2 linked regions of the Arabidopsis thaliana genome follow. The protein of the gene in region 2 interacts with the protein of the main gene of each other region in a biochemical or structural test. Each region holds a gene or a part of one and is shown on either strand. Other genes may lie near its edges.

Region 1 (8,023 bases), 1.1 Mb from region 2:
CTAAGATTAATGTTTATAGAATTCATCTTAGATTGCCTAACGATATTTTGAATATGGCTTAAATCTAAGATTTAAAACGTACAAAATCATGCGGAAACTCATTTTGAACGGAAAAAACTCGATTCAACTAATGAACATATAAATTATAGAATAGATAAAATAAAATGGATTTAGAAAAACAGTAGAAAATATTTATAATTTTGCCATGTTTAGAAGAAAATCCATGAGTTTAAGACAATGAGCAAGAGAAAATTACAGAAACGGTGTCGAAGTTAACCCATCAGCCAATCAAACTGCGACTCCTGTAGAAACACAGTTCGAGAAGATTCTTAAATTCTCTTGCTGCATAAAATGGCTTAAGAGAAAATTTCTCAATTCCAACAAATATCTCTCAGATTGTTGGGAGTCCGAATCGTTGTTCGAGGTATGAACTTCAAATTCGATTACGGTGAATTTTAATGTTTGATTTTGATTTCTGATTGAATTTCAATTTCGGGTTCTTCGTTAGGTCTAGTTCGCTTCAGGTCTCTGGTTTTTTCTTCATGATATTTACGTTCCTGAGTTGTTTGTGACTTGATTGTGATCGATTCATGTAATCTTCCTGATTTACTGTTGAAATTGCTTTGCAGTTAGAGAATTGTTATCTTGCTAGAGATTGTGTTGAATTGCAAATTTCAGATTTGTGTTTGATGATAGCGTTTTATGAATTCTGTTTTTGTTTTTGTATACTTTAGTTTTTATCAGGGAAGATGCAAGGAGGTGGTGGTAGAGATCCTTTTGGTGGTGGTTTTGGGGGTCCTTTTGGTGGTTTTGGAGGTGGCTCTTTTGGTGGTTTTGGAAGAGGTTCCTTTGGTGGATTTGGTGGCCCTAATGGTCCTCCGAGTCTCATGTCTAATTTTTTCGGAGGAAGAGATCCATTTGACGACCCTTTCTTCACTCAGCCTTTTGGTGGTGGCATGTTTCAATCCAACTTCTTTGGTCCCAGCATGAATCCTTTTGCAGAAATGCATCGTCTGCCACAGGGTTTTATTGAGAATAATCAGCCTCCAGGACCGAGTAGATCACGCGGACCGGTTATTGAAGAGATTGATTCAGATGATGAGAAAGAAGGAGAAGGTGATAAAGAGAAGAAAGGAAGTCTAGGGAAACATGGCAGGTCAAGCAGTGAGGCTGAAACTGAAGATGCTAGAGTGCGAGGTGATACCTTTTTTCTATTTCTACCTTGGTTTTAAAGTGGAATGAAATCGTTCTTTTCTATGGAACTGATTGTGTTTTATGTTCGCTGCAGAGAGAAGAAACCGGCAAATGCAAAGCATGAATGTAAATGCAGAGAGAAGGAACCGAGAAATGCAGAACATGAATGTGAATGCAGAGAGAAGGAACCCACAAATGCAGAACATGAATGTGAATGCTATGGTGAACAATGGACAGTGGCAACCTCAAACCGGTAGTTATAGTTTTCAGAGCTCGACTGTTACATACGGTGGTCAGAACGGCAACTACTATACTTCCTCAAAGACCAGAAGGACAGGAAGTGATGGGGTGAGTTACATTAGTAATGTAATTGCGTGTGTGTGAAAGTAAGAATGTTAGCTGATACTTTTTACTAAAACCGGTCTTACTGTGAAACAGTTAACTCTTGAAGAAAGCAGAGAAGCCAACACTGCAACGCGGGAAGCAGCGCATATGATTTCAAGAGGCCTTCATAACAAGGTACATATATACATACCTTGAGGATAATAAAATCTGTATCTTTTGTTGTTGGATCAGTTATAAGTTATGTTCTTATGCTTGCAGGGCCACACAGTTGCGCGTAAACTTAACTCAGATGGCCGTGTTGATACAACTCAGACCTTGCACAATTTGAATGAAGGTAACTAATACAATTCTCGTTAAGCTTCATAAATGTTCTATTGTGGATGAAATATCCTTATATACCGTTTGCTTTCAATTGCAAAATTCTGCAGATGAATTGGCTGGTTTTGAACAGTCTTGGAGTGGAAATGCTAGAAGGCAAATGCAGTTACCCAGTCGCTCTGGTTCATTTGGAAGTAAGCAGTCCTATTACACGGTCAAGTTTTCGTGTTGTACGTTTCTTTGTGAACAAAGATAAATCATCTCTTTGATGTTCTTGCAGGTGGTCTTGTGAACAGAGAGCAACCAATGTTACTTCCCTCGACTGATCCAAGTCCTTCTCATGCACGAGCAGAATCATCCCGAAGACCGAAAGCTGCAATGAATGTAAGAGGACATGGTACAAACTAATCTCCGCCTATATGTATGGTTTCGAAAATCTTTAGTGAATGTAACCAAAGACTAATTACTTTACTTAGGTTGCATCATCATTACTGTAACTGTATGATGACATGATTTGAGGGTTTTAAACACTGCTCCTTGATGATTATTATATATGTATCTTTTGTTACATTAATCAGTTCTTCGTTGCTTATAATCATATAGCTAACTGATTAAAGCTTCAATTCTCAGCTACAAATCTAAATAAAATATAAACCGGACCCGGTTCTTACTGGAGAGAACTAAAACAAACAAAACCAATTGGTGGGACACAGCTAACCGGAGAATCATACTTGCACAAAGATACTAATTAAAAAGCAGAGTCATTCACTCTTCATACAGTTTATATTCTCAAGCAATGTCTCTATATTAGGCCTATTGTTTGGTATCTCCTGTGTACAGCTTATCCCAATCCTCGCCATTGCAGTCGCCTCTGGTTTATCAAACTCTTCACGAAGATCTTCATCGATGAACCCGTTATGTTCTCCATTTTCAGCTGCATTTCTCAGTGAACTTGTAAGCATGAGCTTACCAGAGAGTATCTGGAGAATGATGACTCCAAAGGCGAAAATATCGGTTTTCTCGGTGAATTTTCCGGTTGTGACGTATTCCGGAGCTAAATATCCCATTGCTGCACTTGTTTTGAGTGCTGAGAAGACCATATCGTCTGCTAGAAGGTTGTGAAGACCCGAATCAGCGATTAACGGGTTAAATTGTTCATCAAGTAGGATTTTTTCGACAGAGATGTTTCGATGAACTATTGTAGGCTTCTTCTGTTGATCACTTCCATGTAAGTAAGCAATACCTGCAAGAAATTTGTGTATTAAATACATTTTGTTCCTTGAACTCAAAGAAGTGATATTTCAAATACTTAACCTTTTGCAATCCCTTTGATGATGGAGATTCTTGCAGACCAAGCAAGGACCAGATTAGTTTCGCGTTCTTGTAAGTCAAGAAAATTTGAAAGCTTTCCTTTTGAAGCAAAATCATAGATGAGGAAACACTCTCCTCTGCCTCTAGAACAGCAGAATCCACGTAGCTTCACTAAGTTTTCGTGTGACAACGAAGATAAAAGCTTTAAACCGTTCATGAATTCGACTTCTTCGTTCTTGCAACTGCTTATGTTGATGCTTCTGATAGCTACCGGAGAACCATCTCTGAGGACTCCTTTGAACACTGAGGTGAAGCTGTTTCTGCTCAATAGATTAGCTTCTGAGAAGCATTGGGTTGCTGATTCAATGTCTTCTAAGTTAAACCTGAAGCTACTATTTACAACAAAGAGATGAGGCTCTTGTGAAAACTCAGCTCCGTTTCTGCTATCACCTAGCGGATCCCATTCTTTAGTGTAGGCAAGACTCACTAAAGGCGATGCACGGAACTCTTTTTGTTGATCTGTGCTTAGTCTTCCCTCGGAAAACTCAGGTGTGTTACTGATCTTTTGCTTCCTTCTTCTGTAGCGAAAGAAGGTCAATATACCAGCACCAATCAATGTTATAGTGACGGTAATCACGCTTGAAATCAAAGCAACTTGTGGGAGTTTCGATGAGGATTTCTTGCAATGTGTTTGGTTGCAATGCTTTTGGAGATATACAGACTCGGGAATGTTGTGAAGAGCTGATTTATCAGTGTCTATTTCACCAGGAGGCTGCTTAAATTGTTCGATATTATTCGCATTATCGAAAGCAGAACAAGCTCTCAAAGAAGGAAAATCGATACCACATAACCCGGTGTTGTTCTCAAACTGGAAGCTCCCATTCAACTTCTTAAGACCTTTGAAGAAACATAACGAAGAAAAAACCGAGTCAAGAAACAGAGAGATAAGCTCTTACAAAGACGTTTCAAGAATCATTAACTCACCAGGAGGAACAAAGCCAGAGAGAGTATTGTTGCGCAAGTCAAGAGTGTCCAACTGAGGAATGTTGGCTAGGGTTTTTGGGATTAAACCTAACAGATTGTTGAAGCTTAAATCAAGCCTGCTTAACATACTCAAGTTTCCTAAAGTCCAAGGAACCTCTCCGGTTAGTTTGTTGTGTTGCAGAGACAACACATTAAGTTTCTTCAAGGATCCAATGTTCTTTGGTATCTTCCCTGTTAAACTGTTGCAACAAAGATCCATAACTGCAACAAAAGACACCACAAAACATTCAAATGGAAGATCGAGTAAACATTCAAGTGAAAGATCTGTGAAACATTATAAGATGCTAACCTTGCAAGCCAGCCATGGAGCCGATATCTGCCGGAATCTCACCAGAGAAGTTATTAACATTGAGATAAAGATCTGATAATTCAGTAAGATTTGTGATCTCTTGAGGTATCTCTCCAGAGAGACTATTGTAATGTAAGTAAAGACCTGACAAACATTTGAGCTCTGCAACCGCCGGAGACAATTTTCCGACCAAACGTTTCCCTTGTAATGATATGTTTGCGACTTTTAGATGCTGGTTACATGCAATTCCTTCGAAAGATCCGTCGCATGGATCGCCGTTAAACGTCCATGAACGGAGAAGCTTGTTTTCAGGGTCAAGCGACGATTTCAGCTCCATTAAAGCCTTCAGCTCTGCATTTCCTCGAACATTCGACGGAGTTGCAAGAAAGATTGAGAGAAGGATCAGTAACGTGGCACATAAGGTAACCATTCTTGAATTTTCTTGTCTCTCTGTTTAGAAATTACTGAGCTTTAGCTCATTTATCTATCTCTCTTATAGAGCAGAATAATCTGTTTTATAGAGCAGAGTAATAAAGGAACGAAATTTATAGAGCAGAGTACTCTGTTTTGTACTGGATTGGGAGCTATCTCTTTGTTAAACGAAGATAGTAACTTTTAGAGAGGGACCAATTTTGTGTCTGTTTCTCGGATTTGGAAAACTGTAACCTTCCACTCTCGTGAATGAAAAGTTATTCTGCAGAATTTTCTTGTTTTGGAGAGAAGAAGAGAAAGAAGCAGAACCTCAGCTGGTGAAAAGTGGGAAGACAACACAACGCATTGAATACACTGTCTGTGTGAGACAGAGACGTATACTGCTTTTGAAAAGGAAAGCCAAATCTTGATGACTTTTTTGGTGATTTTTAACAGTTAATGTTCACATTTGTTAGTGGGGATGTGATGTTATTAGGTGTTTGTTTATTTATTATGTCTATTGCTCGAGATCTTGGTTTATTTCACTTTCTTTGCATTGGTTTATGATTTAGACAGACTTTAAAACATTTTTAGTATATTTCTTCTATATCACAAATTCTATATAAAACAAAAATATGCTTTTTGGATAACCATTTTAGAAACAAACAGAACTCGGGCAAATCGCAAAATCATTTAGCTATTTGATCATAACTTAAGTTTACGAATAAAATCCATAGAACTTAATATCTATGTGTGGTGGTTATTATAAATGGTAAAATGGGTAAAAGTGTAGAGCGGCTTTAATGTGAGAAAACGATCTAACGAGTGAAGTTTATTTAAGTTCATGTTTGGCGATTGAGCACTTTGGCTTATAGTTCATAACTTTTGGAATCATTTCGAAACTTGGATCATCCTCTTCTTCTTTGTCAACACTCCACCTTCCCATTCCCTGCATGTGCCACGTGCACGTGTCTACTCCTGCATACACATACACATACACATATTCATATTTAGTCTCTTAAAACAAGTCTTTGGATGAGAATAGTACTGATTAAAGAATGTTTTTTTTAGATCCATATTTCTAATAGTGGTCTAATATGATTAGTTGATTATATATACTATAAAATATAGTATACTATAAAATATAGTATATATGGTCTAAATATAGTATTTAGTTAATGATGATATCGAGATTTAGAGGACAATTATTCCACTAACTCTCTTTTCTTTTCCTCTAATTATTTGTAGGCTATAAAGTAAATTGATAAAAGATTAGTTATAGAAATGCTATTTGTTGGTACATGTATTCTAACCTAATTGGGTTTAAGAACAAGACAGTTTGACTATAAGCAGAATCCAATGTGGACTGAAACATTCATCTTAATTAGATATTCTTAGATATACTCTTTGATTATATACAAACTTTTATCATATGTCCTATTATACTGATGAATCTTACTATGTGGACAAAACTTAATTCACACAATGAATAAAATTGGTGAAAATGATAACAAAAAACAAATTAGTGAAGTAATTAAGCACGTTAAAACTAAAAAACGAGACTAGTAGATTTGACGACGACGATCGAGTTCAATGTGAAAGCATAAAACCTTATCAACGGCTATAATTCAGATCTTGATTACTTCAAGGTTTTTTAGATGTATACAATAGTTTTAACAAAAAAAAAGATGTATACAATAGCAATCAGACAACTTTGATTTATCTTCAATCATTCGTCTTTTATTTTTTGGCATTTCAAGATGGAAGGAAGACTTTTGAAATACTTTTATCTTTTCGTTAACTACTTTGACCTTTTACTTGATTGTTTTACTAATAACTTTTGTCATTTTCTCCTTTTTCCCACGTCTTTTTGAATCTATATGATGTCTTTTAAAACTTTTGAAAATTTTATATTTAGTATGCATGCTTACTTACATAGTTACATGTATGAATGTTTTATCTAGAACTCTAGTCTCTAGAAGGATATCCACATTATGCTACAAAAGTAATATAAATATCGACCAAAATTTGTGTAGCCTATGTGTCAAGGTTCTGATTTACACTTGAAAATACGCAAATGAGTTCTAGATGATGGAAAAATGATACACTATATCTCGAATGTTTTTACAAAATTATTAGATAGAATTTATCTCTACGTCAAATTGAAATTTTTGACAACTTGTTGTTGCCTTTACAATTTTTATTAGCAAGATCAAGATTAGATCATTATGTATAAATTCTATTTACTCACTTTTCGTTTAATACGCAATGCCATAGAAGTGTCTTGTGATTAATTGAACCATCTCATACGTTCTACATTAAAAAGTTCTTACTTTTTACTTTTTAGTAGTGCTGTATTTTCACAGTTGTTTTTGTATGATTAAGGAAGACTAATGCACTAATCTCTCCACCATTCTCGGTAGAAATGTCGACTTTGAGATATCATATTTTTATTAAAGCAATAAAACAAATAGCGAAATGCAACACAAGAAACATTTGAACTTTTTACAAAGCTCACTTTGAAATTTGAAAGTGTTATTACATTCAAACCAAAAGATATCAATCATATAATTTGGCTAATAAAACACATTTAAAAGTCTTAACTACTTAGCAAAAACCAATTTATCGAGTAGAGAGAGATTCAATCTCAAATTTGATGAAAAATGAACAAAAATGGGGACAGACTCAATTCGCTGCAACTTTCTTATCCCCAAGTAGTACAGCTTCTTTCTCTCGCCACACCGCATGAACCTCGTCTGTGCGAAATCGTTGTGTAAAGGTAGAGTCTTCGATCGGTGTTTCAATACCATTAACAAACGCGAGTAGACCTGTGTAAGCGATCATAGCTCCATTATCGATGCAGTAACGGTCATCTGTTGCAAACAGCTTACCATCACGTTCTGAGCACATAGTCCTCATCATTTCCTGCAAACGCTCGTTACACCCAACACCGCCAACTATCAAAACGTCTTTCTTGTCACAATGCGCCATCGCTCTTTCTGTGATCTCAACCAACATCGCAAACACCGTCTCCTGCAAGATCAACAAACATGAATTCATGATATTACTCTTAAACAGTCCAAAATTTGCATTCATGTGACAAAATTCATC
Region 2 (9,397 bases):
ATACGGCTTCTCAACTCCTGTGGTAATGCTTTTTACGACAATCACATTCATCTTACACAAACTATGTTTCCTTTGCAAGTTTTCTCGTTTATTCAGTTTTTCTGGTCTGCTGCAGAATCCGTGGGATGCTATAAAGTTCTCTGGAGATTCTCGCATCCATTTAAATTCCTTTTTATCGGTCTTCAATATTTATGGTCTTCCTGAAGAATATTACCATGACAGTAAGTTCCTTTTCTTCTGTTTCCTCTCTATTCCTTGACAAAAGATGGAGAAATGAGCACCAATGTTACCTAAATCTGTGGCAGGCGAGTTATCGAGGGGCGATACTTTTGTTGATGGAGCAGTTATCGCTGCAGCAAGAACATTACCTACTTGGTCAGACATAGATCTTCCTCCAATACCGAGTGCGGAAAGAAAAGCAGTTAAAGAATTGCAAGATGAATGTCGAAAGATGCTTGCGGAATATCCCACAACAGCAGAGCAAGACCAGAAGTTGCTAGGTATTACACTAAAGATATATACACCAATGTGTTATTATCTATTATCGCTCATATACTAAAACTTAAGCTTTCCCTCTTGTTGTTGTGACAGATTCAATGTCAGAAGCAAGGACAACATTTGCAACAGCGGTTAAGTATAGAATGCACAGAAAGATGTTCATCGGAAAAATTATCAAGGCACTTGACATCTATCAAGAACGGTTACTCTATTGATTCAAGCAAAAAATAATTATGAGCTGAGTGAGATTCATACTTGGTGCTCACTCCCTTGAGCTACTTAGAAACTGCACCATGTAATTGAAAGGTTCCTGTTTTTTTTTTTGTTTAGTGTAAGGTTATGTATTTGTATGGAACAGTTAGACTAAGTGTGTTAGTTTGTTTTAATCGCAATCACAAACAAATCATAACCTCTTCTTTTCTTGGCTGCTTTAATGAGTTTGATTAGCCAACAAACGCTTTGGAATCATCTGTGTTTTTTTTTTCTCTTTTGATTAATTCATGTTCATGTTTTTAGTCCCTAAGCATGATTAGTGTCTCAAATGTTTTAGGGTAATTGTGTCTCTTACGCCGAACTATAATGTTGATTAGTCTCAATAATTGATTATTACTTATACTATTTATTAACCTTGTGGTTACACTAATCAATCAAATCATATTGCGTTTCTTCTACTCTTTGTCTAACATTACTATTTTCAAAAAAAGTTACGGTCCAAACCAAACAAACCTACTCTGAGTTATACAGAACCATAAGCAATCTATTTCTTACCTTTGGCTACTTATTTGATACTTTACATTGACTAACTTGATTCTTAATAATTATCTTCAATATGTTGAATATTTTATTTTTGAAGTAAGACCACTATGCGTTTCATAATTCTTGCCATGCATAATGAAATTATTCCTTTGAATTTAAGATTAATTAAAGTATAAATCAACCAAACAATAGACAAAAAAAAATAAAAAAAAATAAGCATCTTGATCTTTTTGGTGGATCGAAGATAATTCCTTTGTCTCATTCTTTTGGATTTAGAATCTCGTTCAGTAGAATATTAACATTTTTAATTATAGATTATCAATTATCGAACAAGTTGTTGTACGTAAACTTGATTCGATCTAGCGTTATTACAGTCAACCAAAATTTATATAATAATAACAATTTATGAAAATGACAATATTATTCGATGTATTATTCCTTTTTTCCTATAATTAGATAGGTGTGATTAAATTCAAGCTAGATTCCGAATCGACAACAACATATTATATCTATTATTAACCTCAATTTTTGAAGGCAAAAAACACACGAAATTATTCAAAACTCACGAGTTGATTCTTTACTTCGATGAACATATAAATTGGGAAAGTATCACCGAACTTATTTGGGTAATAAAGAAAAAGATGGATGAAAAAATTATGTTTGCAAATTTTAATAAGAATTATGTTTGACTTGGTAATAAAATATAGGGCATAATCATATGATGCCATGTTAATGTACGATCATACCACAACTGCTCTCCTTGTCGTGAAAAGGTTGAAGTGATGAGAAGCTAACACACTTTGTGACATAACCAAAGCCAAAAATATATACTTCAACCAAGTCATTTTCTCAACCACTCTTTTCTCCTTGTCCAAGGTCAAAGCCATGCATCACCATTTTATTTTCTATTATTCATTATTGTTACTTTTCCTTTATATAACTAATAAAAGGTCTATTACTAATAAACAACTAAACTTTTCTTTTCTTTTTGATAAAATTAAACAACTAAACTTGTCGAAAAGAAATAGGAGAACAAAGAACTCTAACTTCTCACGAAATTGATAAATCAAATGATTGCGTATCACAAAGACACTAAAAAGAAAAATTAAGGAATCGTGTAGAGTTGACACTCTATACATTCAGAGTAGTAATCATGTGTTTGATAGATAATAAATAGATAATGGAAGTATGAAATGAGAAAACTTGTTGGGATCATTTATCATTTGTGGAATCCTCTAAATCTTTTCTAACTTAACTCCAAGTCGTTAGAGTCCAAGAGATATGAATCGATCGGAACTTCAATACAGAATTTAATTAGAATATAGTGGAACAACATCCACGAATCTAAATGTCATAAGTTGTTAATTGATCAAACGAAATAGAATGTACTTATTATAAGCTTATAATTTTACAAGTTTGATGTGAATGTAAAGTGTACTACTCCACTATTTATTTATATATTCTGTGGTTTCTAAAGAAGACCAAATGTTTTTTTTTTTTTCTTTCCTAAGAAGACCAAATGTTATGTCAAAGTTTAGGCACTGTTTTAATTATATAACATGTCTCCACGGACGAATAAATGTACACACGAACATCATAGTACGACCGTTGACCTTTGCCCCTCCATTGATTGATAAAAGGCTAAAAGCCGAAACATTTTCATTCTACGAGCCTTCCCATTCCATTTCCCCACATCTCTCCTCTGACCTCTCTTTGACCCCTCTCTCCTCTCTCTCTAGATCTCTCAATAAAACAGTGAAATAGCAAAAAAGAAACACAAAAAAGAGAGAGAGAAAGAAACTTTGTTCTCTCTGCATTTACTCTTCTCCAACTCAGAGATAGAGTCCCTATGCACCGTTTCTAATGACCAATCATCTTTCTCCCTCTTCATCATTCTCTACAACAAGAATCACACAAATGCCATAAAACCTCCATTCTTCTTCCTCAGTAAACCAAACCATAAGACGACGAAGAAGAAAACATGCAACCACTAGTTCTTCTCCTCCTCTTCATCCTCTGTTTTTCCGGTTTAGGTCAACCGGGTATCATCAACAACGATCTTCAGACTCTTCTCGAGGTGAAGAAATCTTTGGTCACGAATCCACAAGAAGACGATCCTCTCCGACAATGGAACTCTGATAACATCAACTACTGTTCTTGGACCGGAGTCACATGCGACAATACCGGTTTATTTCGTGTAATTGCTCTAAACCTTACCGGTTTAGGATTAACCGGTTCAATTTCACCTTGGTTTGGCCGGTTTGACAACCTAATCCACCTTGATCTATCTTCCAACAATCTAGTTGGTCCCATCCCAACTGCTCTCTCCAACCTTACTTCCTTGGAGTCTCTGTTTCTCTTTTCTAACCAACTCACCGGCGAGATTCCGAGCCAGCTCGGCTCCCTCGTTAATATCCGGTCGCTAAGGATCGGAGACAATGAGCTTGTTGGAGATATCCCGGAGACGTTAGGGAACTTGGTGAATCTCCAGATGCTTGCTCTGGCTTCTTGTAGACTCACCGGTCCTATACCGAGTCAGCTCGGTCGTCTCGTCCGAGTTCAGTCGTTGATATTGCAAGATAACTATCTCGAAGGACCGATTCCGGCTGAGTTAGGAAACTGCTCTGATCTCACTGTGTTCACTGCGGCGGAGAACATGCTCAACGGGACGATACCGGCGGAGCTTGGACGCCTTGAAAACCTCGAAATACTCAACCTGGCGAACAACAGTCTCACCGGAGAGATACCGAGTCAATTAGGTGAAATGAGCCAACTCCAGTATCTTAGCTTGATGGCAAATCAACTTCAAGGTCTTATCCCCAAGAGTTTGGCTGATCTGGGAAATCTTCAAACTCTTGATTTATCGGCGAATAATCTTACCGGAGAGATACCTGAAGAATTCTGGAACATGAGTCAGCTTCTTGATTTGGTTCTAGCAAACAATCATCTCTCTGGTTCATTACCAAAGAGCATTTGTTCTAACAACACAAACTTGGAGCAACTGGTTTTGTCTGGAACTCAGCTTTCTGGTGAAATCCCTGTGGAATTAAGCAAATGTCAATCGCTTAAGCAGCTTGATTTGTCGAACAATTCTCTCGCTGGCTCGATCCCTGAAGCATTGTTTGAGCTAGTCGAACTCACAGATCTTTATCTCCACAATAATACCTTGGAGGGTACGTTATCTCCTTCGATATCAAACCTCACTAATCTACAGTGGCTTGTGTTGTATCACAATAACTTGGAAGGCAAGTTACCGAAGGAGATCAGCGCACTCAGAAAATTAGAGGTTCTGTTTCTGTATGAGAATCGTTTCTCAGGGGAAATCCCACAGGAGATTGGAAACTGCACAAGCTTGAAGATGATTGATATGTTCGGGAATCATTTCGAAGGAGAGATACCTCCTTCAATAGGAAGATTAAAAGAGCTTAACTTGCTTCACTTGAGACAGAACGAGCTTGTGGGTGGACTTCCCGCCAGTTTAGGTAACTGTCATCAACTGAACATCTTGGATTTGGCGGATAATCAGCTCTCGGGATCAATTCCTTCATCCTTCGGGTTCTTAAAGGGCTTGGAACAGTTGATGCTTTACAACAATTCTCTTCAAGGAAATCTTCCTGATTCACTTATCAGTCTGAGGAACCTCACCAGAATCAATCTCTCTCACAACAGGCTCAATGGTACGATTCATCCATTATGTGGTTCGAGCTCATATCTCTCATTCGATGTCACCAACAACGGGTTTGAAGATGAAATCCCCCTGGAGCTAGGAAACTCTCAAAATCTTGATCGTCTCAGGTTAGGCAAGAATCAATTGACAGGAAAAATCCCTTGGACGTTGGGGAAAATCCGCGAGCTGTCCTTGTTAGATATGTCAAGCAACGCTCTCACAGGAACCATTCCGCTACAGCTCGTCTTGTGCAAGAAACTGACACACATCGATCTCAATAACAATTTTCTATCAGGTCCTATACCTCCATGGCTTGGAAAACTTTCACAGTTAGGAGAGCTCAAGCTTTCTTCGAATCAGTTTGTTGAGTCTTTACCTACTGAACTGTTCAACTGTACAAAGCTGCTTGTGTTGTCTCTTGATGGAAATTCGCTTAATGGGTCGATTCCACAAGAGATTGGTAACTTGGGAGCTCTCAATGTCCTTAACCTTGATAAGAACCAGTTTTCAGGTTCACTTCCTCAAGCTATGGGAAAGCTCAGCAAGCTGTATGAGCTTCGGTTATCAAGAAACAGCTTAACAGGAGAAATCCCAGTTGAGATTGGACAGCTTCAGGATCTTCAAAGTGCTTTAGACCTCAGCTACAATAACTTCACTGGAGATATACCTTCGACAATTGGGACATTATCAAAGCTGGAAACACTTGATCTTTCTCACAATCAGCTTACAGGGGAAGTTCCTGGCTCGGTTGGGGATATGAAGAGTTTGGGATATCTCAATGTTTCTTTCAATAACCTCGGAGGGAAGCTCAAGAAACAGTTCTCAAGATGGCCAGCTGATTCCTTTTTAGGCAACACAGGTCTTTGTGGAAGCCCACTAAGTCGCTGCAACAGAGTTAGAAGTAATAACAAGCAACAAGGTCTTAGTGCCAGATCAGTTGTGATAATATCAGCAATCTCAGCATTGACGGCGATTGGCTTGATGATACTTGTAATCGCTCTCTTCTTCAAACAAAGGCATGATTTCTTCAAGAAAGTGGGTCATGGAAGCACTGCGTACACATCGTCAAGCTCTTCTTCACAAGCTACACACAAGCCTCTCTTTCGAAACGGAGCTTCAAAGTCCGATATCAGGTGGGAGGACATCATGGAAGCTACACATAATCTAAGCGAGGAGTTCATGATTGGATCAGGAGGCTCTGGGAAGGTTTACAAGGCGGAGCTTGAAAATGGTGAGACTGTTGCAGTGAAAAAGATTCTCTGGAAGGATGATCTCATGTCAAACAAGAGCTTCAGCAGAGAAGTTAAGACGCTTGGAAGAATCAGGCATAGGCATCTGGTTAAGCTAATGGGTTACTGCAGCAGCAAGTCAGAAGGATTGAATCTGTTGATATATGAGTACATGAAGAACGGAAGCATCTGGGATTGGCTTCATGAGGACAAACCCGTGCTCGAAAAAAAGAAGAAGCTTTTAGACTGGGAAGCAAGATTGAGAATAGCAGTAGGATTGGCTCAAGGAGTAGAGTACCTTCATCATGACTGTGTTCCTCCTATCGTTCACCGTGATATCAAATCCAGTAATGTGCTCCTCGATTCAAACATGGAAGCGCATTTAGGAGATTTCGGTCTTGCCAAGGTCTTAACTGAGAACTGTGATACCAACACAGATTCAAATACCTGGTTTGCATGCTCTTATGGCTACATTGCTCCAGGTACTCATCTTCTCTTTCTTAGCTTTCTTGCATATTCACTGTTTTAATATCTAAAGATTTGAAATTGTGTGTCTAGAGTATGCTTACTCGTTGAAGGCGACTGAGAAGAGCGACGTTTACAGTATGGGGATCGTGTTGATGGAGATTGTGACTGGGAAAATGCCAACCGACTCAGTGTTTGGTGCAGAGATGGACATGGTGAGATGGGTTGAAACACATCTTGAAGTAGCGGGTTCTGCGAGAGATAAACTCATAGATCCAAAGCTTAAGCCACTTCTGCCATTTGAGGAAGACGCAGCTTGTCAGGTGCTTGAGATTGCACTTCAGTGCACAAAAACTTCTCCCCAAGAGAGACCATCTTCTAGGCAAGCTTGTGATAGTCTTCTCCATGTCTACAACAACAGAACGGCCGGTTATAAGAAGCTGTAAAAAAACTGACACCTGCAAATGTCTTTGGAGACATGAAAACTGCCAACTTTAAATTTTTTCTTCTGAAATTCTGTTTCTGCTTTGTATAGATGACATGGTTTCTTTCAGTACAAAGATTGTTTCGAACTTGATCCATCTGCTACAAAAACACTTATTGTCTTTTGCATGTACTTGTAATACAACTTAAACCAAATTTTAAACAGAATGATTCTGATTCTGATTCTGAAACTCTATTCTCATAACAGAAGGTAGATTGCAAGGTTTATCATTTCGCCATTATTAACCAGATACAAACAGATTCAGATTGTGAAAACACAAATCTTTAGGTTCATATTCGAAAACAGTGAATGAAAAGAACTCCAGAGCTGAAGTCAAAGAGAAGGAGAAGAAACGCTTATACAGGAAAGATCAGACAAAACAAGCACTTGAGATGAGTTCAGGGGAAGATATTTCTTTTCTGAAGACTTCAAAGATCACGCAAAATTAATCCCGATCTTCATCTGCATTACAAAAACAGAAGGAAAAGTTTGAATATTCCAAGTTATTCAATCCAACAAAACAAGAAATGTAATACACCAAATTCTGCCAGTCCCTCGCAAATATGCAATAGCCAATGGTGATAAACAAACAGAGATTCTTGAACTTATCATAAGTCACAAGATTTATCAAAGAAGAGTTTGCGAAAGCTTAGCAACTTACTACCTAAAACGAGACACGTTTACATATGTGGTTCCCTTCAAATTCGCATCTAGTTTATATGTACTGGCACCTTGCAACCTATCTAACTCTAGAACCAAAGAACTAGTCGAAAGTATCTATCTTTCCAGACTCATTGAGATCATGTTCAAAGGAATAATTGTATTGCTCAAACTGTCTTAACTTTTATAAGAGTGCCTGACTAAACAGATTTGCAACAAGCTAAGCCTGCATAGAGATTCGCTCAATTGAAAAACTTCCAAATGATTAAACCTTGAGCGAAGTTTCATTGCGGAGAATTCAATTACCATTGCAACCATTTCATACACCAAAAACGTCACCAATTTTTCTAAAAAAAAGCAAAATTTGAGAAGCTGATAAACCAAAAACAAGAAGAGGATAATATATACCAAAGTAACGGCGCTCATTAGCAGCTCTAGCCTTAGCGAGCATCACATCAAGATCTTCCTTAAGCTTCACATCCCATTTCACGAGCTGGTTCGCAAACACAGCACCAAGTCCCATACCCACCACATGCTCCCACGGATCTAACATATATTAATATCCAATCAGAACACAATGAATCGGAATCGCATTTTCTCAACAATCGAAATCAGAAAACAAAAATTAGGGTTGTTGTAGCATTTTTCGATTGGTGGACGACTTACGACGCATATAAGGGAGCTTGCGGAGGGCGTTGGAGTACATCTGGGTACCGAGACCCAGCAAAGCTCCGACCATTGTCGCACTTATAGGCATCGTTTCGTCTTCGGATCTTCTGAAATTTGTTGTTGTTGCAACGATGAGTCTCCGATCTCCGGTTAAGTGACTACTCGGACTTAGCTTCACAATGTTTTCCCCACATACATTGCCATTTCAGTGTATCGCCCTCATATGGGCTTGGGCTTGGGCCTAGACCTTGGGTTACATAAATGATATGGAACGCTATCTGCTATGTTTAGTTGTTTTGGAAAATGTTAGTAAGTTTAGACAGTAAAAAAAGAAGCACTACTTTTTTTTTTTTTTTTTTAACATTAACAGAAAGTTAAAAACTACCAAATGCTAAAATTTAGGTGAATTATCTTCTATACTTAAGCAAGATACACATATCTTTTGGATAGAATTAAATTAGTTAAGTTCGTTTTAAATTGGAACAAAGTTTGACTCCGGTGTAATTTACGCCAAAACTCTCTATCTGTTTTTTTTTAACCTTTCCCGTCAGATTAGTCAAAGAATCTAAATTTATTTTGATTCTGATAGGCTATAAAAATAGCTACCATATTATATTTTAACTAATTACATGAGTCAAAGACTGTAAATTTATTACTTTAAGTTACCATATATAGTACAATGAATCAATGGAACTTCATTTGGTATTTTTATAGTAATTTTTCTAGAAATAGCATTATATGCATGGTTAATCTTATGTAGATTTCATTTCATAATCATGGGATATGCACAGATTCTGTTACATATAATTAATGAATTTGTTGTAAAAAGTTAGATAACTCAAAATCTTTGACATAACACTAAAATCCCAAAGGATTGAATACAAACCAATGAAGCATATCCAATGGTTTTAATTAATTTTAAAAAAATCCATTCGAGTCAAAGAAAAGAACAATGTAAAAGTGCTTCTA

What was found.
Region 1: the proteins of GSO1 (region 2) and AT4G22730 form a complex in vitro, tested with the Arabidopsis thaliana proteins (one large-scale study listed by BioGRID).

The regions. Positions count from the first base shown.
Region 1 is NC_003075.7:11,938,292-11,946,314, reverse strand, and holds AT4G22730 (Leucine-rich repeat protein kinase family protein), read right to left. Parts: upstream 5,315-8,023; 5' UTR 4,932-5,314; coding exon 4,502-4,931; intron 4,414-4,501; coding exon 4,153-4,413; exon of another isoform or gene 4,066-4,152; coding exon 3,172-4,065; coding exon of another isoform or gene 3,167-3,171; intron 3,101-3,166; coding exon 2,619-3,100; 3' UTR 2,430-2,618; downstream 1-2,429. Other genes in the region: AT4G22740 (glycine-rich protein), read left to right, coding at 750-1,197, 1,289-1,542, 1,633-1,713, 1,798-1,873, 1,968-2,051, 2,138-2,265; AT4G22720 (Actin-like ATPase superfamily protein), read right to left, coding at 7,598-7,945.
Region 2 is NC_003075.7:10,880,985-10,890,381, forward strand, and holds GSO1 (Leucine-rich repeat transmembrane protein kinase), read left to right. Parts: upstream 1-2,936; 5' UTR 2,937-3,235; coding exon 3,236-6,632; intron 6,633-6,708; coding exon 6,709-7,061; 3' UTR 7,062-7,286; downstream 7,287-9,397. Other genes in the region: PTAC14 (plastid transcriptionally active 14), read left to right, coding at 1-22, 116-221, 306-500, 592-713; AT4G20150 (excitatory amino acid transporter), read right to left, coding at 7,545-7,561, 8,168-8,305, 8,426-8,516. UniProt on the Arabidopsis thaliana protein: Together with GSO2, receptor-like serine/threonine-kinase required during the development of the epidermal surface in embryos and cotyledons. In coordination with GSO2, regulates root growth through control of cell division and cell fate specification.